Saccharomyces cerevisiae S288C: one gene and its partners. The gene in region 1 interacts genetically with each later gene. Each region holds a gene or a part of one and is shown on either strand. Other genes may lie near its edges.

The links.
Region 2: mutations in PXA1 (region 1) and FAR11 together harm fitness more than expected from each alone (negative genetic interaction), as found in Saccharomyces cerevisiae (2 studies listed by BioGRID).
Region 3: mutations in PXA1 (region 1) and PAR32 together harm fitness more than expected from each alone (negative genetic interaction), as found in Saccharomyces cerevisiae (2 studies listed by BioGRID).
Region 4: mutations in PXA1 (region 1) and FAA2 impair growth when combined (synthetic growth defect), as found in Saccharomyces cerevisiae (2 studies listed by BioGRID, with this or other methods).

Annotation. Positions count from the first base shown.
Region 1 is NC_001148.4:271,649-277,588, reverse strand, and holds PXA1 (ATP-binding cassette long-chain fatty acid transporter PXA1), read right to left. Parts: upstream 4,335-5,940; coding exon 1,722-4,334; downstream 1-1,721. Other genes in the region: NOP53 (Nop53p), read left to right, coding at 60-1,427; PPT2 (holo-[acyl-carrier-protein] synthase), read left to right, coding at 4,774-5,295; ATG5 (Atg5p), read right to left, coding at 5,395-5,940.
Region 2 is NC_001146.8:381,207-390,502, forward strand, and holds FAR11 (Far11p), read left to right. Parts: upstream 1-2,780; coding exon 2,781-5,642; downstream 5,643-9,296. Other genes in the region: DGR1 (Dgr1p), read right to left, coding at 39-185; NRK1 (ribosylnicotinamide kinase), read left to right, coding at 274-996; TEP1 (putative phosphatidylinositol-3,4,5-trisphosphate 3-phosphatase), read left to right, coding at 1,153-2,457; SPC98 (Spc98p), read left to right, coding at 6,021-8,561; ESBP6 (Esbp6p), read right to left, coding at 8,940-9,296. UniProt on the Saccharomyces cerevisiae protein: Participates in the control of the reentry into the cell cycle following pheromone treatment.
Region 3 is NC_001136.10:142,262-149,578, reverse strand, and holds PAR32 (Par32p), read right to left. Parts: upstream 1,389-7,317; coding exon 501-1,388; downstream 1-500. Other genes in the region: GLT1 (glutamate synthase (NADH)), read left to right, coding at 1-376; DLD1 (D-lactate dehydrogenase), read left to right, coding at 1,990-3,753; AIR2 (TRAMP complex RNA-binding subunit), read left to right, coding at 4,061-5,095; GID12 (Gid12p), read right to left, coding at 5,356-7,317. UniProt on the Saccharomyces cerevisiae protein: Involved in resistance to cisplatin.
Region 4 is NC_001137.3:183,033-188,035, reverse strand, and holds FAA2 (medium-chain fatty acid-CoA ligase FAA2), read right to left. Parts: upstream 3,496-5,003; coding exon 1,261-3,495; downstream 1-1,260. Other genes in the region: BUD25 (Bud25p), read left to right, coding at 3,336-3,358, 3,867-4,305; HEM14 (oxygen-dependent protoporphyrinogen oxidase), read right to left, coding at 3,817-5,003.

The DNA of each region.
Region 1 (5,940 bases):
TTAGTTCGGCTTTCTTGTGATCCATACCATCCTCACGTTAATGAATCATTTATTTAAAAATGGCTCCAACTAATCTAACCAAGAAACCATCTCAATACAAACAGTCTTCAAGAAAGGGTAAGAAAGCATGGAGAAAAAATATCGATTTATCTGACGTAGAACAATATATGGAAAAGAAAATTGATCATGAAATTACGCATGGTACCAGTGATATAACCTCTTTGCAAAATGATGCTCTTTTTCATGTTGATGTTGAGGGTGATGAGATATTGAAAAATAAATTAATTAAAAGGAAACAAATTAAGAAGGTTCTAAAAAGTAAAGAGATTTTAGACGCCGTTAAAACGAATTCAAAAATTGCAGCACTAAATCACCATAAGAATAGTAGTGGAAATCCTAATAAGATTCAAGGTGTTTCTAAACACGAATTAAAGAAATTAATGGCTTTGGCTGGCAGAGTACACGGCGAATCGAAGATCAAGAATAGAGTTGCCAAAGACGGTCTAGTTAAAACAACGGCTGGCGACTTATGGGGTGAAGAATCCAATTCAAAGAAACAGAAGGTCAAATTACCTTCCGGTATCAAACTTGATGTGGAAAAAAAGGACCAGATACCTGAAGAACTATTGAAAAAATCCACGACAAGTTGGTCTACTGCTTCAGTCAGACCAAGTACTTTAGATATAGAGCCAATTGCAGTAAAAGAATTCACAGAAATTCCACATGCTGGTAAATCCTACAATCCCAACAATAAAGCTTGGTCAGAATTGATAAACAAAGAGTATAAAGAGGAAAAGGCAAGAGAAGATGAAAGAATCGCCTTGGAAAAGTACAAAGAAAGAATTAGACATTTAATGGAAACTTTAGATGACAATGAAGAGGAAGAGTCTTCATCAAACGAAGAAGAAGAAGAAGAAGAAGAAGAAAATGAAAATGAAAATGAAAGTACGCAATGTAGTGGATCTGATAAGGAAATAAAACTATCAATAAATAAGCCTGTGAAGAATAAAAAGAAAACAAAATATCAAAGAAACAAGGCAAAGAGACATGAAGAGAAAGTAAAATTGCAACAAGAGTTGAAAGAATTGAGACAACGTGTTAAAGATTTAGAAGAAGTTATCAATTCTGAAGAGACTGAGATACTTTCAGCCATAGAGTCAGATAGCAACAAGGTTAAAAAAAGCAAGAAAAATAAGAAACACAAGTTAGGGACGAAATACTCTGTGATTGATGAAAGATTGGAGATTAAATTTTCTGACGAATTATCTGACTCATTGAGAAAACTGAAACCTGAAGGAAATCTGCTATATGATACTGTGAGAAAACTACAAAGTTCTGGTAAGGTCGAAACAAGAGTGCCCGTTAGGAAAGGTAGAAAGTATAAGCAGAAAATCACTGAAAAGTGGACACATAAGGACTTCAAATAGAGTTTTTTGTTTTACAGTATATGTTTCCATGAAAAGGTTGTCCTTGATACGTGGATTCATCAAGTGAGATATATATATATATGTTCATATTTGTGTTGGCAAGACCAACAACTGTATAGTAGGTAACAAATTGTTTCATTTTCTTTTCGTTCTCTGCCCTTTTCTAGTTTGAGAGGGCATTCCCATGTCGATATCTCTAGATATCAGTTAAACATTCAAAAGTACAAATTCAGTTACGGAAATAATATATAAATTATATTCGCTAAATAAAATCTCTCCCTTTCTAGGGTGTTTTCAAATAATTTCAAGCTTTTCCCGTAGCTTCGTCCTCTCATCTTCCCAACCTTTTACTCTTTCTAGTTTTCTCTCCAATTCCTCAATCTCGTTGTCAATCGACGTGATTGCTTCATCGGTACCAACTGCCTGTAATTGCCATTTGCCATCTCGATTTTCACCGATCTCTAGTAACATTTCATGATATTTGATTAATGTGGGTCTTTGTGATATGGAAATGAAATTGAATCTGTATCGTTTTAAAAGATTGAACAGATAGTCTTCCATGTCAACACTAATTGCGTTTGTAGCCTCATCTAATACTACGTATAGTGGTTTATGAAACATGATTCTAGCAAAATTTACTCTTTGCTTTTCACCACCACTTAATAAGTCCTTCCAATCGGCAATGGCATCTAGGTAAGTTAAGCCAACGCCTCTTTTTAAAAGATAATCTAGTTTCACTTCGACTAATATCTGTACTAGCTCCTTATCTCTAAACCCCCTATCAAAGAATTCATCCGAGGACATGGGGTATATAATTTGGTCTCTTAAAGTTCCACCTCTACTAAAATATGGTTTCTGAGGAATAAAAAAAATATTATTTTCTGAAGGAATCGACAATAATCCATTTTTGTTATACACTGGCCATATTTCAGCTATAATGCGTTGAATTGAACTTTTACCGCAACCATTTGGCCCTAATATTAACAGGCTGGAGCCAGAACCCTGCAAAAATGGTAACTTTATATCATTTGCCTTCGATAAGTCTTGTATAGAATTGGACTTTGAAGTTATTGGGTCAATATGCAAAGGAATTTGAAATGTAAGCTTGTTAATCAGCTTTATGCCTTCGCTCGCCCTTACTGATGGAATGATTACGTCTATATTTTCTAACCGAATACCGTTAAAATTGCGTTGAATAGTACCACGAATAGCATCTTGCGAATTATCCGTGGTGGGTAATAAGTTGGAATTTCTGGAAGCGTCTTCTGTACGTATTGACAGGATTGAAGGAACAGCGCCGTAATTAAAGTTCAGAGAGTGAACCCTGTGTAAGACGGAAAGCAGAGTAAATATCCTATTAGTGTAGCCGGTCAATTGTGAGATGTCCTTTATCGAATGCATCAATCTCGAGCCTGCATCTGCAAGCGACAACATCAACCTTTTGTTGACTATAAATTCCTTCATATTTTTTTCCTCTGAATTGATGCCTGTCGCTAAGGTAGACATAACGATAGGGATTGAGGCAAAAACATAACCCAAACCGGACCATGTATATTTTAAAACATAGTCTTCCAACATATTGTAACCAAACTTGACTTTATCAACCAGCAGCATTTTTTCCATCAGCACATCATACAACTCTTTAACTTTCGTCCTTTCCACTGCTGTTCCTTGGTAAAATGCGATCTCTTCGCTATTATTTATCATGTTTAGATGATAATTGTAGTAATCGCCGTCTGAAGCAGATCTCTCGCCTGCCAATTTACCTAATGGTGGCGTGTATTTCCTCAAAATAAACCCAGTAATGAAATAATTAACAAATATACCTGCTACTCCCACAGTTCCCAAATTATCACGTAAATAAACCGAAAAGAATATTAAATCAATAACTGGCTTTGCAATGTTTGCAAAAACGGAGCATGTCGCATCGCAAAATTTTGCAACATCATTAGTAATGGAGTTGTCGATATTCTTGATTACCGAATTGGACGCCTTTGCATCAAAAATTAATTTGTAAAATGTTAGTCTTTTATCCAAATACATGTCATGGATGTAACGTGTCAAATTTACCCTAAAGTTTAAACTCAACTTCCTTTGAAGTAGCTTAATAGCACTATTAGTATAAGAAGCAGGGACAGCAATTAAAAACCAACACCCTAAGTCCCACAGAAAGCTTCTTCCTCTACCAGCAATTATATTTTTGACTATTTGTCCATCCAGCTTGGCTACAAACAAAGAGAGCCAAGTTCTCATCACCAGGAAAAAAATTTGAGCAGTTAAAAGAAGAAAGTTTTTGTCAAAAACTGTTGGAATTAAAATTTTAGACAAGACGTTCATTTGGTTTAAAAATTTTGAGTAGAATAACTGCGAATTCTTGGCTCTTTCCAGTTCTACATTTTTAAAAAGAAACTTATCGTGTTCATATACATCGTTATCCTTTGGTGGAATAAATATCCTTTTCCTTTTTTTTTTATCTGTAGCATTCATAAATTTGTTGTCATCGGGACTCTGGCGGTCGACTAATTCCACTTCAGGAATATACATTATTCTTGCACCACTGTCTAATTGCATTTGAGATCTTGTTCTTCTTATTAAAGGTCTCCTATTCCTTCTCTTCCATGGAAACTTGTAAAATTTATAACATTTTAGAATAATTTTGAAAGTACTATATGTTACACCAGAAAAAAGTGTGACACCAGATAGGAAAAGCGATACCAATAAAATCTGGGCCCTTCTTCTTAGCTTAGGATGAGCAGCGTTTGATCTAGATATCTGTAGAAGATGCCGTATCAATAACTTGAAATATACTTTAGGTGTGACATCGTTAACGTGTAGCCCAATACAGTGAGTATGTAGATTCAGGAGCAAACTCTTTAGTTTCGCTGGTGCTGCTAATGTTGTTGACATTTCTGTGTTATGCGTTCTAAGACTTCCAGATTGTCTGAAACGGGTTTCATTGTTAGTCTCACTTCTTAGAGAAGCATTCTTATATATCTTGACTCTAAAAGGGCTGAAAATAACCGCCGAAATTAAAAATTGGGGTAAAAAAGGGTAACGAAACTTATGCGGTTAAGCCCGATCAACATATAGCTGAATATTGCGTCAAGAATAATTTCTTAATCGGGATTATTTCCGAAGGAAGAAATTCTATTGAAAAAAAAATCTTAACATCAAAACTGCTTATATACATTCCACAGGTTCAAGCGGTCATAAGAGATCTGACTTTTGATAGAAAAGCTAGTTCTTTAAGAAGGCTGAATAGAAGCTAAGCACTATTTTCTTATCAGGAGTATTGCTTTCTAATGAACGTTTATTTCATAAGTGCTAGCTTTGAATGCCTCCAGTGATGAGTTTTGCATCGAGGAATATTGGACGTAAGATAGCAGGAGTGGGAGTTGACATTGTATACTTGCCAAGATTTGCACATATACTAGAGAAATATTCCCCATTCGACCCATGTGGCCGTTCTACCTTGAATAAAATAACACGGAAGTTCATGCATGAAAAGGAAAGATTTCATTTCAGTAATCTTCTCATCGAAGAAAACTGCTTAACTCCACGATTGCATGAATATATAGCGGGAGTTTGGGCTTTGAAGGAATGCTCATTGAAAGCGTTGTGTTGCTGTGTTTCAAAGCATGATCTACCTCCTGCCCAAGTACTGTACGCTGGAATGCTATATAAAACACAAACCGATACAGGTGTACCTCAGTTAGAGTTTGATAAGATGTTTGGAAAAAAGTATCCAAAGTATCAACAGCTCTCGAAAAACTACGATTCTCTCTTTTCCACTCATGAGTTTTTAGTTTCGCTATCCCATGATAAAGATTATTTAATTGCAGTAACAAACTTGGTAGAAAGAGAGTAAAAGTTTTCTTGCAGCCGTATAAATGTGGCCCTATTTTCAACGTCCAAGTTATTTTCTGCGATATTTGAATGACACTTTTAAATGCGTATATAACAGCTCTTAGAGCTCAGAGGAAGCTTTATCGCCGCCTTTTATAGGAACAAGAGTTATGTACAAAAAGCCATCAAAACTTCGCAATTTAGAATACAAATCATACAGGAGCATATGCCAAGGAATTTCAATTCCTTGACAAATAACCATGACATCATTACCATTGATTCCTTCCTTTACGTCCAGAATATCGCCTTCAATATCCTTCAACGTAGGATTGACTCCAGTCATACTGATAGTTGGTTGTGATATTCGAAAAGTTCCTGATGTCCTTGAGGTTTGAATGATGAGCGGTATATGTCGCGGTCTTGATGAACTTATCTTGTTAGATATTTCAATGAAATCTTGGAAATTTCTCGTAATAACACTGCCCCAAAATTTTCGAGCTTCGTTGACCGATAAAGACATAATAGCTTTTGAGGAACCATTCAGTATGAAGCAAACTTGTTTCCATTGGTGAAACCAAAACTTTTCCGCTTGCGTTTTGCTAGATGCGATGGGAATGATAGTTGGTGGCAACGAATCGCCCATAACCAAGTGAATTCTCAAAAAAGT
Region 2 (9,296 bases), on another chromosome or scaffold:
TCAGATAAGAAGATGGAGTCAAAATGTAAACAATAACTTTAACCTATATAAATTTTCTTACATTTGCTTTTAAATACTCGAAGATTTGCATTGAACGATCGTTGCCGTTGACTCATTTGAAACAGAAAAACAATACACGCAGGAAAGGAACGGCAGTTGGTCTGAGAAACAAAACCAACTTGCATTTTAGGCTGTTCCGATAGTTTATCAGAGTAAGGGAAAAAATAGCGTGCAAAAGCTATCGAAGTGTGAGCTAGAGTAGAACCTCAAAATATGACTTCGAAAAAAGTGATATTAGTTGCATTGAGTGGATGCTCCTCCAGTGGTAAGACGACAATTGCGAAACTTACAGCAAGTTTATTCACGAAGGCTACATTAATTCATGAAGATGACTTTTACAAACATGATAATGAAGTGCCAGTAGATGCTAAATATAACATTCAAAATTGGGATTCGCCAGAAGCTCTTGATTTTAAACTTTTCGGTAAAGAATTAGATGTGATCAAACAAACTGGTAAAATAGCCACCAAACTTATACACAATAACAACGTAGATGATCCCTTTACAAAGTTCCACATTGATAGACAAGTTTGGGACGAGTTAAAGGCTAAGTATGACTCTATTAATGACGACAAATATGAAGTTGTAATTGTAGATGGGTTTATGATTTTCAATAATACTGGAATATCAAAAAAATTTGATTTGAAGATATTAGTGCGTGCTCCCTATGAAGTACTAAAAAAAAGGAGGGCTTCCAGAAAAGGATACCAGACTTTGGATTCTTTCTGGGTGGATCCGCCGTATTATTTCGACGAATTTGTGTATGAATCTTATCGTGCAAATCATGCGCAGTTATTTGTTAATGGAGACGTAGAAGGTTTACTAGACCCAAGGAAGTCAAAGAATATAAAAGAGTTCATAAATGATGATGACACTCCAATTGCGAAACCTTTAAGCTGGGTGTGCCAAGAGATTCTAAAGCTTTGTAAGGATTAGGAAAGCGCCACAAAATCGATGAGAAGTATAAAAAAAAAAAAGTAAAAACAATAAAAATAAGAATGTGTACCTCGATAGATAACTTAAATAAGACAATTTCAGAACCACAATATTGATAACACCATCCCGATTTTTGAAATTATTTTTTTGGTGTAAATGAGAGAGGAGGGGAGTGAATTAGAAATGGAAAAAGGCTTCCTTAAATGGAAACCAGTCAACTTGATGAAGAAAATATTGTCTTTACCAATGAAAAAAACTAAAAACGATATAGGTTTGAGATTAGATATATCATATATTTTAGTTAATCTAATAGTCTGCTCATACCCGGTAAACACGTATCCAAAACTGCTTTATAGGAATAGCTTGGATGACTTAATATTGTTTCTAACAGTGTACCATGGCAAGGGAAATTTTAGAATTTTTAATTTTAGAGGTGAGAAAGAAGACAGCGATTATAAAGATAATGATCTTATTGGTATCGCTGCCAAGTTTGAGAGCAAAGATTTTGAAATTCAAGAATTACGTTCGACGCTGATTAATGATGGAAAGATACCAATATCACCCATTGATCTCGAAACAAGGACCTTGGTCGAAGAAGAAACCAATAATGTAATTTGTGAAAGGATCGGTTGGCTAGATCATTTTCCACCGCCATTTGAACTGCTGGAAGAGATTGTAGATGGTATAGAAAATTACCTGTCCGTTTCGAAGAATAGAGTGGCTGTTTTACATTGTCGAATGGGGAAAGGCCGATCTGGTATGATAACAGTAGCATACCTCATGAAATACTTGCAGTGTCCTCTTGGAGAAGCAAGATTGATATTCATGCAGGCTAGATTCAAGTATGGTATGACGAATGGCGTCACCATACCCTCTCAATTAAGATACTTAAGGTACCATGAGTTTTTTATTACCCATGAAAAAGCAGCCCAAGAAGGAATTTCTAATGAGGCGGTAAAATTCAAATTTAAATTCAGGCTTGCTAAAATGACGTTCCTCCGCCCATCAAGCTTAATCACTTCCGAGTCTGCTATTGTAACTACTAAGATTCAACACTACAACGATGATAGAAATGCCCTCCTAACCCGAAAAGTAGTATATTCAGATATCATGGCGCATGAATGCGGTGGTAATATGACCTTCATTTTTGGTAGGGACTACTTAACACTGGAAAATGATTGTCGTATAGAATTTACCCTGGGGACCAGCAAGTCCAAAGCCGCCAGTAGCATAATATCTTGGACTTCATGCGCCAGCTGTTGGCTGAATATATACCTTGAGACTTTGATGCACATAATTAAAGACGATTCTTCGCCAGATTACTTTCAAGTAGAGAGGTTAAAGAGAGACGAAATGCTTGGGACAACCATAAGCTGGCAAGAGCTGGACGGTTTTGGGGAGCTCAGCACTCACGGCTTGAAATTATTTCAGGCACTGAAATTGGAATGGGAAATTATATAGGTTTATGCATTTCGTCAAATCCATTCATTCGTTAAACTTAGTTAAAAGTGTTATATTTATTGTGAATTGGTTTGTTTTGGTAGGCTTTTTTCTATATTATGTATTCTTTTCCTTTTCTTCAATATTCTTGTATGGTACTTTAATTTACTGGCAGGTATTTTTTGGAGCGGTCAATTATATGAATCAAAACGCCATTCTAGAAACAGGAAGAAATATATGAGAACCAAGGAGTAGGTTGAAAGGCATTGTAGAGAAATTTTATTAGTATTTATAGCCGAAGAAGAAGGTTAAGTGACAAATTTTCATTTATAAGCCTCGCTAAAATGAATGCTAGTGGAAGATCTCATTCCAAAGGCCCCATTATAAGGTCTGTGTCTTTAGAAGATCTTAAGAGAAACTCTAGTTTCAAAGGCAATCTAAAGTACAAAGATGAAGTCACTTCACATAAAGAACCACAGGTCGGAACATTGAGCAACGAAGAACTGCTAAAAGATTTGGACAACATGTTGCGCGGTAAACTGAACATGGGAAGAAACAGTTTTCATGCCGATAAAAGAAATAAATCAGATGGAAATATCAGTGCCTTAACCTTCAAGGCAAGATCAGGTCTTGAGGGAGATATTCGTACCATAGATATACAGCAAGATAGTAGTGATGAAAATGATAATTTTAAGTTCAGTGATGATGGCGTTAATAAGGATAGAAATAATGAGAAAGATAATAATACTGATAACGCCGTTGAATTTCAAGACGATGCTGAAGAAGCTGAAGAGGAGAATGAGGATGAATCATTTGCTAATGTAGATGAACTGGATGGCTTTGATTTGAATAAGGTTTCTGATGGCAAGCATGTTCCTATCAATGAAAAGGGCGAAGTTGATTATAATATGCCGGTAGATAAAGAATTTCAGAAATCACTTGACCAGTGCGCAGCTTCACTTGAGGAAAGATCAAGTGCACCTTATGCTTTACAAAGAGCAGTGGACTGGGAATTGAAGATGTTTTATTCTTTGGAAGATGAACTGTCGGAATGGTTTTGCAGCTCTGATTATATGCATTTTGGACAGACACAGACTCTGTTTAAACAGAAAATTACGCAACCACAATTATTCTTTGATGATGAAAACTATGCTGCGAGCGTAGTTGAATGTTTAATTGAAGACATCCCCAATTCTTTAGCATCTAATTTACTCGCATTATCATATATTTCTATGGGATGCTTTGCGTTTACGAATAGCAAAAGTGAGCATACAAAGATTATACGACGCAACAATTTAATGCTTGTTCCTCATATTCAAGAAATTGTTCATGCCTTCAAGAAGATTGCAATAAGTTGTAGGGATGACAACAGAAATTTAAAGAAACAAACAATTTTGCTATTTCATTCGTCAACAATCCTATACTTCATATGCAGTATTTGTATAGAAGGTAGAGGAGAAAATCCGGAAGCAGTAAATGTTGTTATCGACGCTTTTGAGAAAACAGATTTGTTGGAATTTTTAACAAAGTATATTGAAAATTGGAGGTGGAATAGCAGATTAGCTATGCGCATAAGAAATATGATTTCTTTGCTCTTCAAGCTTATTGTATTACAATTTGGTGACAGTTCTGTCTACAAACAGACCAAATCATCTATTTATAATCTCCATGGCTTAACATATCCATCAAAGCATCCAGAAAAGCTTTCTATCTCCCCATTACATTATCAAGCATTCAGGGAGGACATTACTTCCCGTTTTCCTGATTACAATATGCCCAGTTCTGGCTTACCTAAAGATGTTGACAAATCAGAATCTCTTTCCCAGTTTCTGGAAATTCCTCGTCCAAAATCAAAGAATCCTCTAAATATGGCGCTCATTGTTCCTGAAAAACATATTGCTACACCTGCTCCTTCACCGCCAAGCTCTCCACAATTAATGCATTTAGGTGAAGGTCCTAGACCTCGTAAATCTTTCCAAACAAACATGGCATATCCGTGTTTGTATCCATCTGATAATGAAGGATCTGAAGATGACACTCTGGAAGATAGGATAGATTTAAATATAGAGAGAAAACCTGATAACGATATAGTTATTCCATTCAGTACCGAAGAGGCAGCGAGAATATTAAGCGAGAGTTTAGAAATTAAGCTGAGTACAAAACAACTTTGGTACGAAAGGGACTTATTCATGATAACTGAACGTGGTTGGAAACAGCAATTAGAAAATGAGCCATATGATTATGCCGCGCTTAATCATGATGCAAACTCTTCAAAAGAGGAAAAAAGTGCGATTTGCATTATGCAGCGAATTGACAAATATTATAAGAGCTGCCTTTCGAGCTTTAACTCTCTTGTTTTTGTCTTACTGCAAACAATGGAATCAAGCTTGACAAATAACTTTCATAGGAAAAGTGAAGTCTCCGATAAAAATCTTCTAAATATGCTGACACCCCAATTGGAGATCGTGAGAGCTAAGGAATTGTCCCTAAAGTCAGCAGCGGGCATATTACATGCGTTATTGAAGTGGTTTAAGTTAAGCCATATTTTGAAATTTGAACACTTGGCGGTAGTTATTCACGATTCGCGATACATCAACACATGCGCATCTATTTTAAGCAAATATTCTGAGGTTTATCCAGAGAGGGTTTTCAATAAATATGTACAAACCCCGAATTCATTTTGGAAGGAGTGTTCTCTCTCTAACGAGTCTTATCGTGAATCCTATTCAGTAGATGACTCAGGAGAGGTCGACACGGAGATTATGCCTTCGTTTGCATATCTGTTAAGAATCTTGAGAAAAGTCACAGGGAATAAAACACAAAGGTTAAAGGAGCTGCCCCTCTCCATCGGCATTCTATTTAAACGCTATTATCGGCTCTTCAACCTTGACATGTATCATCCAATATTGAAAATAACAAGAGAACTCACACCATTCAAAAACAAGAGGTGGAAATCCGAGCATATGGAATTGATATCGGGGGTTTACCTTTATGAAAAGCTGGAGTTAACTGATAATTGGGTAACAGGGAAGGATATATCAGGAGAGTTGAGCGATGCTTGTGGTCAAGAAATTGCACTCCGGGCCTTGCTTCAATTTTACAATTTTCAACACTATGAAATATCTATGGAGGACCTTGGATATGGACACCGTAATAGTTCCAGCCAAGATCTGTTAAACAAGGAATCCGAGTATTTGAATATTTAAATCTCTACTTACGGATACCGAGGCTCGGGGCGCGATGTTATTGTCATTAACAATCTCCTATCCCTCCCTATGTTTATATAGTTTTCAATGGAGGAGCATGAAAACCCCTTAAATAGTGTTTATTTGATCGCGCAATGGTGATGATTGGATCTTCATATCACAAGTGGGATACTAGGACAACCGTTGTTGGATTTCTATTATCATAATATATACGGGTAACGATTTTTGATGCGTCGCGTTTGTAAACAAAACTAAACAAAACAAACAAATATACTCATTTGATGGCTTCATCTGCATATAAGAAATAGAAGAGCCAGAATACTAAGCATAACCATAATATATATTACAGTCTATTTCAGTTGTAGCTGAAAAATCAATATGGAACTAGAGCCCACTCTTTTTGGTATAATAGAGGCATTGGCTCCTCAATTATTGTCGCAGAGTCATTTGCAGACATTTGTATCTGATGTAGTCAATTTACTGCGATCATCCACCAAATCGGCAACTCAATTAGGCCCTTTAATTGATTTTTACAAATTACAATCACTAGATTCGCCTGAAACAACAATTATGTGGCATAAAATTGAGAAATTTCTCGATGCTTTATTTGGAATCCAGAACACCGATGATATGGTAAAGTACCTCTCTGTCTTTCAATCTTTGCTTCCATCAAATTACAGAGCAAAAATTGTCCAAAAATCATCTGGGCTCAATATGGAGAACCTTGCTAACCATGAACATTTACTTAGCCCAGTGCGGGCTCCAAGTATATATACAGAAGCTTCATTTGAAAACATGGACCGATTTTCTGAAAGAAGGTCCATGGTATCTTCGCCTAATCGTTACGTTCCCTCTTCAACCTACAGTTCTGTTACTTTGAGACAGTTGTCAAATCCTTATTATGTGAACACTATACCCGAGGAAGATATCCTAAAATACGTATCATATACATTATTAGCTACGACATCGGCACTATTTCCGTTTGATCATGAGCAAATACAAATTCCGTCTAAGATACCCAATTTTGAGAGTGGACTTTTACATTTAATATTTGAAGCGGGTTTATTATATCAAAGTTTGGGTTATAAAGTGGAGAAGTTTAGGATGTTGAATATATCTCCAATGAAAAAAGCATTGATTATAGAAATTTCAGAAGAATTACAAAACTACACAGCATTTGTGAACAATCTGGTCTCTTCAGGGACAGTAGTGTCATTGAAATCGTTATATCGTGAAATATATGAAAATATAATAAGGCTTCGAATATACTGTAGGTTTACAGAACACCTTGAAGAATTGAGCGGAGATACATTCTTGATTGAATTAAATATTTTCAAATCCCACGGAGATCTTACTATAAGAAAAATAGCAACGAATTTGTTTAATTCAATGATTTCTCTTTATTATGAGTATTTAATGAATTGGTTGACTAAAGGTCTACTCCGAGCTACTTATGGAGAATTCTTCATTGCTGAAAACACTGATACAAATGGTACAGACGATGATTTTATTTACCACATTCCTATAGAGTTCAACCAAGAAAGAGTTCCGGCCTTCATACCGAAAGAGTTGGCATATAAAATATTCATGATCGGCAAATCGTATATCTTCCTAGAAAAGTACTGTAAAGAGGTTCAATGGACAAACGAATTTTCTAAAAAGTATCATGTCCTGTACCAGAGCAATTCTTATCGGGGAATATCAACGAACTTTTTTGAAATTATAAATGATCAATATTCTGAAATTGTTAATCATACTAATCAAATTCTAAATCAGAAGTTTCATTACAGAGACGTGGTATTTGCGTTAAAGAATATTCTTCTCATGGGTAAATCTGATTTTATGGATGCTCTTATAGAAAAGGCCAATGATATTCTCGCGACACCATCGGATTCATTGCCAAATTATAAGTTAACAAGGGTTTTACAGGAAGCCGTGCAGCTTTCTTCCTTAAGACATTTAATGAATAGTCCCCGTAATAGTTCTGTCATTAATGGATTGGATGCGAGGGTACTCGATCTTGGACATGGATCCGTGGGTTGGGATGTTTTTACTTTAGATTACATCCTCTACCCCCCTTTGAGTTTAGTATTAAACGTAAATCGTCCTTTTGGCAGGAAAGAGTATCTACGAATTTTCAATTTTTTATGGAGATTTAAAAAGAACAATTATTTCTATCAAAAGGAAATGTTGAAGAGTAATGATATAATCAGATCATTCAAGAAAATCAGAGGTTACAACCCGCTCATCCGTGATATTATCAATAAACTTTCTAGAATCAGTATACTTAGAACTCAATTCCAGCAATTCAACTCGAAGATGGAATCTTATTATTTGAACTGCATTATAGAGGAAAATTTTAAAGAAATGACCCGGAAACTGCAACGCACAGAGAATAAAAGCCAAAACCAATTCGACTTAATTAGATTAAATAATGGCACCATAGAATTAAATGGGATTTTAACCCCAAAAGCTGAAGTACTAACAAAGTCTTCAAGCAGTAAACCCCAAAAACACGCAATCGAAAAGACGCTGAATATTGATGAATTAGAAAGTGTACATAACACGTTCTTGACGAATATTCTTTCTCATAAGCTTTTTGCAACTAACACAAGTGAAATAAGCGTTGGTGATTATTCTGGGCAACCATACCCAACTTCATTGGTTTTACTTTTAAATTCGGTTTACGAGTTCGTCAAAGTTTATTGTAATTTGAACGACATTGGATACGAAATCTTCATTAAAATGAATCTCAATGATCACGAAGCATCTAACGGATTATTGGGAAAATTTAATACGAATTTAAAGGAAATTGTTAGCCAGTATAAAAATTTTAAAGACAGACTGTATATTTTTAGGGCAGATTTAAAGAACGATGGCGATGAAGAGCTTTTCTTATTGAGCAAATCGCTCCGTTAAGAAATGATCCCGTCCCGTTTTTCATTTATAATAAATTTCCTCCACGCAGGTTTAATGTATAAGTTGTAATGGTAGCAAATGATTTACAGATTTATTTGCAAGTAAAGAGACTCTTTTTTCGTTTTGTTTTTCCTGGATCCGCAACACAAAGTGTATTACATATGGATACATGGAATATCTTTACAGTGCTAAATATATTAGGTTAAAAAAAGGTCGTTTTCTGTAAAGAATGCTTTTTCAGCGTTAACTTTACGTCTTTTTGATAATAAAGAAATTTAATTAGGTGAAGCGGAGATATTGAATATTATGTACTAATGATATGATGAGTAGGCGACGTAACTATCGCGTATATAACATGAATCAGGTCGTCGAAAAGAACTAGACCTTCATTGGATATACCATTCTTAGGAAGTATTTTTTAATGCCCGGACCTAAAAGAAGGTCATATTTAGTCTTTCTTTCTTTTAATTTACCCCAATCTTCATCGGCAGAATCGGTATCGTATTCGCTTGCCTTCCATTCTTTTAACTTCTCGTTTGTCATAGCTTGTCTTTCCGTTAATTTCATCCTGATAGAATATTCACGAAGGATAGAAATTAAAATTAGTGCGGCAATAAAGCAGCAACCGCAAAAAATTTGTGCATGTAAGTAAGGATTGCTCTTATCTTTCTCCACCGTCAATGCCTGGGCAATCACCTCACAAACCAATAAGAAAGGCGCACCACAGTAGTTGAC
Region 3 (7,317 bases), on another chromosome or scaffold:
GTCACAAAGTGGCGTATGGCAAATGGTAGAAATTCCCAACAGTGAAGAGATCTTTGAAGCCGATATCATTTTGTTGTCTATGGGTTTCGTGGGTCCTGAATTGATCAATGGCAACGATAACGAAGTTAAGAAGACAAGACGTGGTACGATTGCCACACTCGACGACTCCTCATACTCTATTGATGGAGGAAAGACTTTTGCATGTGGTGACTGTAGAAGAGGGCAATCTTTGATTGTCTGGGCCATCCAAGAAGGTAGAAAATGTGCTGCCTCTGTCGATAAGTTCCTAATGGACGGCACTACGTATCTACCAAGTAATGGTGGTATCGTTCAACGTGATTACAAACTATTGAAAGAATTAGCTAGTCAAGTCTAAAAAGCTTGAGTTATTATTTATTTTATGATCGTATATTATTTATTTATTTATTTATTTATTTATTTATTTATTTATTTATTTATTTATTTTATTTAGTTTATTAATTTTGCTGATGAATGTTATTTCAATTAAACATAGTTTTCAAAGAACTGAAAAACCCTGATTTCTTCTTCTTCTTCTTCTTCTTCTCTTTACCATTGTCATCTTTCAAATTAAACTTATCTTCATCATCATCGTTTAAGTTATGGTTGATAGTGTTCCTGCTTGACTTTGGAGAAATTATGTTTCCAGCGCCACCTCTTCCAATAGCAAATTTTTCCGGTGCGCTTTTGCCCTTGAGCTTATTTTTAGGCTTCTTGGACGTGGACTTGATTGCCGCCAAAGCATTGCCATTGGAAGTCACCACAAACAGGTTGTCCTCGTTTGCATTGATAGTATCCTCATCCTCGATATTGCCGCCTCGTATCTCATCCTCTTCATTTCCACCATTGCTGGCCACCTTTTTTTTGTTGAAGAAAATGTTTCCTGCCCCACCTCTACCAACGACAATTGGGGCGTTGTTGTTCGGAGACGAAGTGGTGGCATGCAAAGACTGATGGCTCCTTGTAGCGCTGATACGAGACCTGGTGTTGGTCACCGGGTTTGACCCACCTTCATCCACCATATCCGAAGTTATAGGGGAAATATAATCGTCGATGTCATTGATCACGTCGTTATAGTTGATATTGTCGTTAGAGTCCAGTTGTTGGGCGGATCTCGTCAGGTGCGGATCATGAAAGATATTACCGGCACCACCTCTACCAATTGCAAAACGAGGAACCTTTTCCTGGTTGCTACCGTTATTATTGTTGTTTGCTACTGTCTTTGAATTGGATTTCAATGGAAGAAGTACGGGAGACGGCTTGGACATAGATTTATGGATGTTGCCAGCTCCGCCTCTGCCAGTGGAGACCTTGTACTCTTGTACACGTGCCTGGTTCTCCATCTCGTTTTGTGGGTTGAACGTAGCCATACTAACTTGGTCTTACGCTACTGCTGCTGCTAACGCTGCTGCTGCTTTTGCTCATATGCTTCCATTGACCGTCATTAGTATCAGCGTCAGCCTTTTTGACATAAGCCACCGCTCTGTCAGGGTAACCCTATGAAACATTTCAAAACGTTATAAAGGAACTCGTCTGGTTACAACAAGGAAATATCACTACAAACAGCTGTCCGTACGGCTCCTCAACTCTCTCAATGTTGTTCGCCTGGTCACACACAGCATAGTTTCGTCATTCGGCGCCGACGGTCGCTGTCTCTTGGAGCCTTCAAGCTCTTGTCAACCCAGGTCCGTTGTGCCGATAAAAGTAACAGCAGACCCCCACGCCCGCATCCCACTCTCTTCTCCGACCACCTCCCTCGAAGTTCTTCCCTGCCAATCCCACGTCGATCCAGCGTAGTTGGCCCCAACTGGTGCAGTAATAACCGCTTAGCGATTTTGCACTCGGAACTACATATGTATATATATATGTGTGTGTGTGTGTGGGCTGGAAAGATTTCTTGAGCTTCCGTGTTATAGTGCAATTTAAATATTGTACATCATTCCGATCCAGCTGGAAACAAAAGCAAGAACAATGTTGTGGAAGCGTACTTGCACAAGGCTAATAAAGCCTATTGCACAACCTAGAGGAAGGCTGGTGAGAAGATCATGCTACAGATACGCCTCAACAGGCACAGGCAGCACCGACAGCAGCAGCCAGTGGTTAAAATACTCTGTCATCGCCTCTTCAGCTACTCTATTCGGTTATTTGTTCGCTAAGAACCTCTATTCTAGGGAGACTAAGGAAGATTTGATAGAGAAGCTGGAAATGGTCAAAAAGATCGACCCAGTAAATTCTACGTTAAAGCTGTCCTCATTGGACTCACCAGACTATTTGCACGACCCGGTTAAGATCGATAAGGTTGTTGAGGACCTGAAGCAGGTGCTGGGAAACAAGCCTGAAAACTACTCTGATGCGAAATCCGATTTGGACGCCCATTCAGATACCTACTTCAACACGCATCACCCCTCTCCCGAGCAAAGACCTAGGATTATATTATTCCCTCATACTACCGAAGAAGTTTCCAAAATTTTGAAAATATGTCACGATAACAACATGCCAGTTGTACCCTTCTCGGGCGGAACGTCCTTGGAGGGGCACTTCCTGCCTACAAGAATTGGAGATACCATAACCGTAGACCTGTCCAAGTTTATGAATAACGTCGTAAAATTTGACAAGCTGGACCTGGACATCACCGTGCAGGCCGGTCTACCCTGGGAGGATTTGAATGACTATTTGAGCGACCACGGTTTGATGTTTGGCTGTGACCCTGGTCCAGGTGCACAGATTGGTGGTTGCATTGCTAATTCTTGTTCAGGAACCAACGCCTACCGTTACGGTACCATGAAGGAGAATATTATAAACATGACTATAGTGTTGCCGGACGGGACCATTGTCAAGACGAAGAAAAGACCCAGAAAGTCGAGCGCTGGCTATAACTTAAATGGTTTATTTGTGGGAAGTGAAGGTACCTTAGGTATTGTTACTGAAGCTACTGTCAAGTGTCATGTCAAGCCCAAAGCTGAAACTGTTGCGGTGGTATCCTTTGATACTATCAAGGATGCGGCCGCATGTGCTTCTAATCTGACTCAGAGTGGTATTCATTTGAACGCCATGGAGTTACTGGATGAAAATATGATGAAGTTGATCAACGCATCTGAATCCACGGACAGATGTGATTGGGTAGAGAAACCAACTATGTTTTTCAAGATTGGTGGGAGATCTCCCAACATTGTCAATGCTCTTGTGGATGAAGTTAAGGCTGTCGCCCAGTTAAATCACTGCAACAGTTTTCAGTTTGCTAAAGATGATGACGAAAAATTGGAATTATGGGAAGCTAGAAAGGTCGCGCTATGGTCTGTGCTAGACGCTGATAAGAGCAAAGACAAATCAGCTAAAATTTGGACAACTGATGTAGCTGTTCCTGTGTCGCAGTTCGACAAGGTTATTCACGAAACTAAAAAGGACATGCAAGCTAGTAAGCTGATCAACGCCATTGTTGGTCATGCAGGTGATGGTAACTTCCATGCATTCATCGTCTACAGAACCCCTGAAGAACACGAAACCTGTAGCCAACTTGTTGACAGAATGGTCAAGAGAGCACTGAACGCAGAAGGCACTTGCACGGGTGAACACGGTGTTGGTATTGGTAAAAGAGAGTACTTGCTCGAAGAATTAGGTGAAGCACCCGTCGATTTGATGAGAAAGATTAAGCTAGCTATTGACCCAAAGAGAATCATGAACCCGGACAAAATCTTTAAAACTGATCCAAACGAGCCCGCTAATGATTACAGGTGAGTATCTGATTTTCCTTTTTCACCCTTCACGTAAACCTGAAATATATTTCATGTAATATATATAGTTCATCCTTAAAGAAAACATACCATTTCAAAATGCCCTTTCCCAGTAGCTAATACATGCTTAAAAATGTGATATATATTATTACCATCAAATGTATTCATGATCCGGGTAGTGCCTTTTTTTCCTTCAAACACTAATGGGATGGGAAGAAACATTTCGAAAAAAGTTATGACTATTGGCAGCATCAGAGAGAATTAAACCTTACCTGTACAACGATAGCAGCTTACATCACTTCCTCGCAGTCATGGAAAAAAATACGGCACCATTTGTCGTCGATACGGCACCCACAACTCCTCCAGATAAACTTGTAGCACCTTCTATAGAGGAAGTAAATAGTAATCCCAACGAATTAAGAGCTCTTAGAGGGCAGGGTAGATATTTTGGCGTAAGCGATGATGACAAGGATGCCATTAAAGAGGCAGCACCTAAATGTAATAATTGCTCTCAAAGAGGTCATTTGAAGAAGGATTGTCCCCATATAATATGTTCGTACTGTGGGGCGACGGATGATCATTATTCTCGACATTGTCCGAAGGCTATCCAGTGTTCAAAGTGTGATGAGGTGGGTCATTACAGGTCACAATGTCCACATAAATGGAAAAAAGTTCAGTGCACTCTTTGTAAGAGTAAGAAACACTCAAAAGAAAGATGTCCTAGTATATGGAGAGCATATATTTTAGTAGATGATAATGAAAAGGCTAAGCCCAAGGTCCTTCCCTTTCATACTATATACTGTTATAACTGCGGTGGAAAGGGGCACTTTGGTGATGATTGCAAGGAAAAACGATCATCTAGAGTACCTAACGAGGATGGAAGTGCGTTCACTGGTTCTAATTTGTCAGTTGAGCTAAAACAGGAATATTACCGTCACATGAACAGAAATTCGGACGAAAATGAAGACTATCAATTTAGTGAGTCCATATACGATGAGGATCCACTACCGAGACCTTCCCATAAAAGACATTCCCAAAACGATCACTCTCATAGTGGCAGAAATAAACGTAGAGCATCGAACTTCCATCCTCCTCCTTATCAAAAGTCTAATGTCATTCAACCAACTATAAGGGGCGAGACGCTGTCACTCAATAATAATATTAGTAAAAATTCACGGTATCAAAATACAAAAGTAAACGTCTCGTCGATATCGGAGAATATGTATGGCTCCAGATATAACCCTTCTACTTATGTTGATAATAACAGCATTTCCAACTCTTCCAATTACAGAAACTACAATTCTTATCAACCATATAGGAGTGGTACCTTGGGGAAAAGAAGATAACTTTAAATAGGAAGCCCTTTAACAAGCTGTTCTTGGTTACATTATATTTTCTTAATGAAAGATTAAAGACAATACCTAATTCGACCATTAATCAAAATAGCATGTAAATTTCTTACATCTTCTTGTTGTGAAAAAAAAAGGCCTTCGTGCAATCACAGGTAATAATAATAACATATACATACATATACGTAAATACGTCTTATAACTCCTGCTACCTCATACGCTATTTTCTATTATGGCTAACATCTATGCAACTCAATTTAGTCTCTTTTTACCTTTTTCACAATGAATGTATAAAGGTCCTTTTCATCGTAATCTAACCTTCTTTTTTGTGCATTTAAACCGTCATAATCGATTAGAGCAAGTTTGTCGACAAACCGATCTTTTCTATTTAGCTTTAGTGAATCGCACAGTTTTATTCTTCCTAACCTGCAGTTTTTGAAAAATTCGCCTTTAAGAACAGTTATCTCTCCTGCCATTGATGTTACCACCAAGTGAAACGTAAGGGCGCAAACATTGTCTGTGCCTACGTCTATATCATTAATTATAACAATTGTATCATTAATCAATCCGAAATCATGGGGTATTATCCGAATAGTATCCTTGGAATTCCTTAACAAATTTTTGGTATTTTTTATTTCAAATCTATTTATCAACAAAACTCCATGTGTGTCCAATATAAAGCATAAAGAATCATCCAGCATAAATAATTTCTTGAATGAACATAAATTTCCCAATGCCTGCTTGAATTGAGCTGTCTCATCATCTATCACTTGGCCATCCACCTTCATTTGACTTTCTGCCCACTCTTCTTCATTAGTTCCATTTTCAGAGCCATTTTTGTTCGATAATGAATCGATTTTAATTATTGGTTCATCATAGTACCGAGGTCGGAATGCACTCAACGTGACGAAATGATCGATGCACACAATGTCCATCTTTTTGTAATTATCTGTTAGAAAAGAAGTCATTGTTTCATCACTTTCATCTGTAGTGTTATCATCTTCATTCACCCCATCATTTCCATTTCTATGAGAAATCTTTTCAACAATTTCAAAATCTACCATAAATGTATTCCTTCTTAATCCTCGGATAAAAGAATCTAATTCCCACTTCGTTGAACAGGGTACATCCATTCTTTCTCTAAAAGCGTCTCTAGTTAAGGCTTGAAAAGATTCTCTCCTTCTTCGACTCAGCGGTCTCGGTTCGCTGCTAGCAGTACTGAATGAAGAATTTCGGCGACTACTTCCCAGCATATCTTGAGTGTGGAATAACTCATATATGTCATCTTTAGCGTGACCTTGACGCTGTTTCCAGACGATTCCTGAATCCAGCATTCCTGTTCCAGAATATTTTACAATATCATCCCAAATGGTTGAATTTATAATATCCGTATCGAATGTAAACTTGTTACTAATCCAGCTGAACAAAGAACCAAATCCATTTTGTTGCGCTACGTTGTCCCACGAAAGTATCTCACCGCATGTATCTCCCTGTATACTGTTCTTTAGGCTGATAAAGGTGCTTAAAAATGTAACATAAGTCAATGGTAAAATTATTTTCCTTATAAATAGTGGTGATCGTGGCGATACTGTCATGAAACAAAACCGGTCTAATGGATTTATATGGAATGTGGAAATACCTCGTTCTATATGTAAATACATCGAAGGCCTATATATGGGCAGGCCTTGATACATATTGCAAAACGAAGATACCACGGGTGACGATCTTAAATGGGATGGTTCTATAGGCAAAAGGAAGTAGCAGATATGCTTAGAGCATGACCTTCCAGTGTACCGCGTACTACCTTCAAATAATTTTTCTTCTTCTGAAGAATGTGTTGTATTATTATCGTGATGTACTTTGAAAAAGCAATCTGGAAACATGGGGTTGTACATGTTCTTATACTGAATGTAATCAGTGGGAAGGTTCATTACAAAGACATATATTCGACCGGAGCACATACAACAATATAATAAACCTTGACTATATTCAAGACCAGCGATCATATAGTCACTAAAAAAATTGGATTCGAAATCTTCCGGAGTACATCTAAGGATATAAGAGGGCGCTAATCGCAGGCCATTTTTTATCTTGTATTGATAGTTGCTTATGATTTCAATGAATCCGTTGGATTTAGCCAGCACCATGTAATCACATGAGTCCAAAATATGCGTTGCGTCTGGAGATATTGACGTGTCTCTACCATTAGGCCTTAAATA
Region 4 (5,003 bases), on another chromosome or scaffold:
TCATTCAGGTTTCCGGAACACCTACTCTAGTTGACCTATAGAAGATACAAGGCGTCTCTTTCAGGTAAGAAGATGCCTCTCAGATGTCTTTGACTTTTCTTTATTGTTCTAGGCAAAGTGTTCTTTATACCTGTATGTATGCATCAGCAGATTGACCGGTAACATGAAAGTCTGAAAAAATCCCTGTAATGTTGTTGTCAACACATGAAAAGTTCCGTATCTTCTTTATTGGAAATCGTTAGAAGCCCTGGTTTTGCTCCTAATGGCGATTTAGCATATGCTAATTAAATCTTAAGCAAAGAGTTGTTGAACGAACCCAGACGAAATCTGTTTCTGGTTGCGTGATTTTTCTTTAGGTAGAAACACTGGAATAATTCAAGCGGGTTTCCCAGGATATCTTATTTTCAAATGATCTTTTCTTTTCTGTGGGTGAGACTACATTTTTCAAAGAGAGCATGTCCATAGTGGCAACAAGTGTGAATACGGGAAGTGAAGAGGGATAATTTTTGAATGAGTAGAGCTTCAGTCAGTCGCTCATGCAGTTTTAGCGGAGACAGAAATTCTATCTACATGGATTTCTCTGATCAGCGATATGGGGTACGCCTTCATTATTTTCTTTTAGCTAAGTCTATCATATATAAGCAACTATTCAATGGTCAAATTAACTTCAATCTCTGTCGCCGCATCCCCGATTACTATCACTTTATCTCCGTCAGATGAGAAAGGTTTACCTTTGCTGAGTTAGGTGATTACGCCCCGATATCAGGGCTCACTACATGGAAAACACTGCACCTCCATCTGAAACAGACCTCAGTTGAAGTTGTGGGAGCCGTTTTCAATCATCTTGACCCGTAGTGCACCAAGTCAAGTTACGAGAATGGTAACTGTGACCCATGTACTCCGCTAGATTGACCAGCTATATCTAGCGCTTTATGAAAGTGCAGTATCTACACTGTGGTTCCAACATAGAGAGCATTGCTTTCACTAATTGATCCTCATATATTATAGAAAGCCGCGAAAAAAAGCTTAAGAAGAATATTTAATGGTATAAATAGTTGGAATTATGTATGTCTTTAATCTTATAGTTCTTTAACAAAGTACAATAGTCTTGTGTGCTGTAGTAACGAAAGCAGGTTTATAACTACTGTTAGTCCATTATACACAGTGAGCGTTCACTATGTATACCGTATGGATGTGCATAGGGATATCCTACATCAAAGTTTTTTCTAGTTTGAATGTGTTCCAAATCGTCATAAGTACCTAAAGCTTTTCTGTCTTGACTAGTGAACCTTCGGCGTATAGTTGGTCTAATGTATCTTTGAAGAATTTTGATGCTTTGGCACGCTTTATTTTAAAAGTTGGCGTCACAACATCATCCTCGAGAGTTAAAGGCTCAAGTCCGACTTTGATGTTATGCAATTTTTCGAATCCTTGTAGCCCATCGGTGCATTTATTAATTTTGTTTAAAAATTCCTTCCTTAGCTTTTTATTACGATTTAAGTTTTCTACTAGCACTTCCTTAGTCCACGTTTTCACCTCTGGGTGCTTTGCAGCTAAAATCGGTTGCGCTGCATCAACATCAACACCAACGATGCCAACTAAAAATGTCTTTAAAGGATCTCCAAAGACAAATATTTGCGTGATATAGGGGCATGATGATAAATAAATATTTTCGATTTTCTCTGGAGCAATATATTCACCATGTGCTAGCTTGAAAAAGTTCTTGACTCGATCAATGACGCTGATGCGACCTTTTCCATCGATAAATGCAACATCTCCCGTGGAAAACCAACCATCTTGGTCAACGGCTTTTGAAGTTTCATTCGGATTTTTAAAATATCTTTCAAAAACCTGTGGGCCACGAATTTGCAGTTCACCTTTTAAATCCTTGTCGGCATGGTAACCCATTTCTGGAACAGACTTCAATCTACATTCTGCAGAAATACCTATGGCACCACAAGATCCGACATCTTTTTCAAACGGTTCGCTTAAACAGACACCAGCAAAAGTTTCAGTTAAGCCGTAGCCCTGTCTTATACCAATATCCAAGGCACTTCTTAAAAATAGTAAGGTATCTTTAGATATGGGAGCTGATCCGGTAATTATAAACGAGTTATTGGACAAACCTAAAGAGTCTCTGATTTTATCAATCAATACGCGATGATAAACTAGAAAATTCATAATCGATTTATCTGGACCACCTCTTGCGGTAAATCTGGCCGATTTAGAATCCAATATAGTATTTGCTACGTTCCTCTGGACAGTCGATTTATCCAAAGCGTTTTTTATACCGGCTTCAAACCGTGTTAATATTCTAGGAACCAGGGCAACCGCGTAAGGTTTCAAAATCTTCAAATCCTCTACCAATACAGTTGGGTCTGGTTTATGTAAGAAGCCTATTCCAAACCCGATGGCTAGATCATACGCAATAACCATTCTTTCAAAAATATGAGCCAATGGCAAAAAACACATATCATATAACTGTTGGTTTCTTTTATCTGGCGGTATTCTGAAGGTAGAAAAAGCAAATGCTATCCCAGACGCAATGTTTCTGTGAGACATTTCCACACCTTTAGGTAAACCTGTAGTACCAGAAGTAAACGAAATAGTATACAAGGAATCTGGGGTAGGTGGAATTGCAGGAATTTTGTTAAAGCAACCAACTTGTTCTACCTGCTCCAATGAAAAAAATGTGATTTTTTCATTGAGAGAGTTGCACTTAACGGGTAGCAACGATTCATTTAGCATACGGAGCTCGTCATGAGTTAATTCATCCATACAAACCAAAGTATTAACAAATTTCATATCAGGCACCATCTTCAATACATGATACATATTTGATTTTGCAAAAATCAGAATGGGGGCCTCGGTTAAATTCAATATGTACTCGGAGGTGTTTGGACCTAATGTTTCGTACAAAGCCGTGTTAGTTAGAGAATAGGCCTGACAGGCCAAATCTGTTAGGATCCATTCAGGGTTGTTGTGTGATAAGATAGCAACAACAAAATCATTGGCTTCCAAAGGACGTTTCCTTTTCGTGTTTACCAAAGACAATATACCACTTCCGATATTATGACATCTTTTAGATACCGTGGAGTACGACTCGAAACGGAATGTTTCCTCCCAGGTGCCTGTGGCTTTATCAATTGGCCTTGAACCTAAACAGTCACGTTGAGGCCATCTCCTTGCAGAAAACATGAAGTGATCGTATGCAGTTCTTAAGTTTTTATCCACACAGCTCACTAGATTTTCAGAAGAAAGAGAACTCCTATAAATCGAGCTAAAACCAGCTTCATTATCCGGATTCGAAATGGCAACCGCCTGTTTCTTTAAAAATGTTTTGTACCTGGGATAGCTGGTCAGTGGTAATTGAGAGTATAGCTCTTCAATATATTCATCAGAGCCTTTGGTGTAACCGGCTAATCTTGTCTTCAAACTTTCGAAACGAGGATCCGATTCAATTAAATCGGTAAGTGCATAATCTGGAGCGGCCATATTTCGAAACAAGTTTGTTCTTATCCGTTTTTTGTAACCTGCATTCTTCCACTTCCCTTAGCCATGCGTTTCCGATGCTTTATATAGTTCCAACCCATCATCGCTCAACTCCGCAATTAATATTGAGTTCCCTCGTTTTGACTCCAACCCATCATCGGCGGCTCGGCGTTAAAGACTGACGGTCCGGAGGATGTTCTGAAAAATTTGGTTAATATAAATAAATTGTGTCTTTTGATACTAACTACTTTTTCTTATTAGCTGATAACTGCCTCAATTGTCAAAAGAAGTAGTTTGCGTAAAGCTAACCATATATATACGTACTTATTTGCTTAGCTGTAAGGCGTCGTTAAAGCCGTCTACAATAACGTCAGGGACACCGGGACTTCTAGAAAATCCCATTCCCCCCACAGAAACTGTTTGGCCGTAAGATTCTTGCAACTTCCTTTCAGCTCTTTCTTGCCATGCGTCATAACCTACATGAAATCTTGGCAGACATCTATCGGCGATAGTGAATTCCCACTGACCAGCTTCCAGATCCTTGTTACTGATGCCGAGGTGGTTGTTCAGCGCATCTTTGACTGCATTAATGGTTACCTCCCTGGATGGCACTACAGGAACACCGTGTTCATTGAGCATACAACCTCCTATCATCGCAGTCACTTTTGTATATTTGTTGAGGGCGTTTGGGTTTGTGGAGAGTTTGTCAAAAAGTGGTTTGAAATTCCTTTCGATAACAGAATCGAAAATTACACCAAGCAATTTCCCTGGATTCTTATTGGATTTGGGAACCAAGTATCCAAAGCCTTGTAGATCGGCATCTATTACATCTTTGTTTGGCAAATAATAATTAACTAAAATTATTGTGTTTGATTGTATCTCATCTAATAACTTGGATAATGAATTTTGATCCTTCGGTAGCAATTTAGCGATTTTGGGAGGTGTTATCGTAAGTCTTAAATGGTCAAATGTTTCGTATTGGTCGCCAGATTTCGCTTTCAATCCGATTGTCGTTTCGTTAGCAGGGCGTTTCATTATTTGCGTAACCGGGTTCCCAGTAACTATTTTGACGTTTTTAAATTCGTTCAAAGCATTTCTGACTATCTTGGGAAACGTTTCTAGTCCCCCAGCAAGACCCAACATGGGATATTTCTTTAGCGTGTTGGATAAGTCTAATAACTTTGACCTGTCTTTTCCAAACGCATTTGAGTAGTCGTTAAGGCAGCCAGTTAAAGATTGGTGCAGGTTCTCAGTTTTTTTACTTCTTGACTTTCCGCGCATATTATCAATCATAGCTTGTGTGTTAGATCCGTGCTTTAGTTCATTGTAGTATATTTTCTTAAACGTTCTCTTGGCACTTAATAGGGAAACGTCATCCCCATAGATACCTCTTAGTAAGGCACTGATCATATTGTTTGATATGTAGTTATTCCCAAACCTTCTGTCACAAATGGATTCGACACTTTCGTCTTGGCCAGGATGTGGAGATTTTTTTCTGAACCATTCTCCCA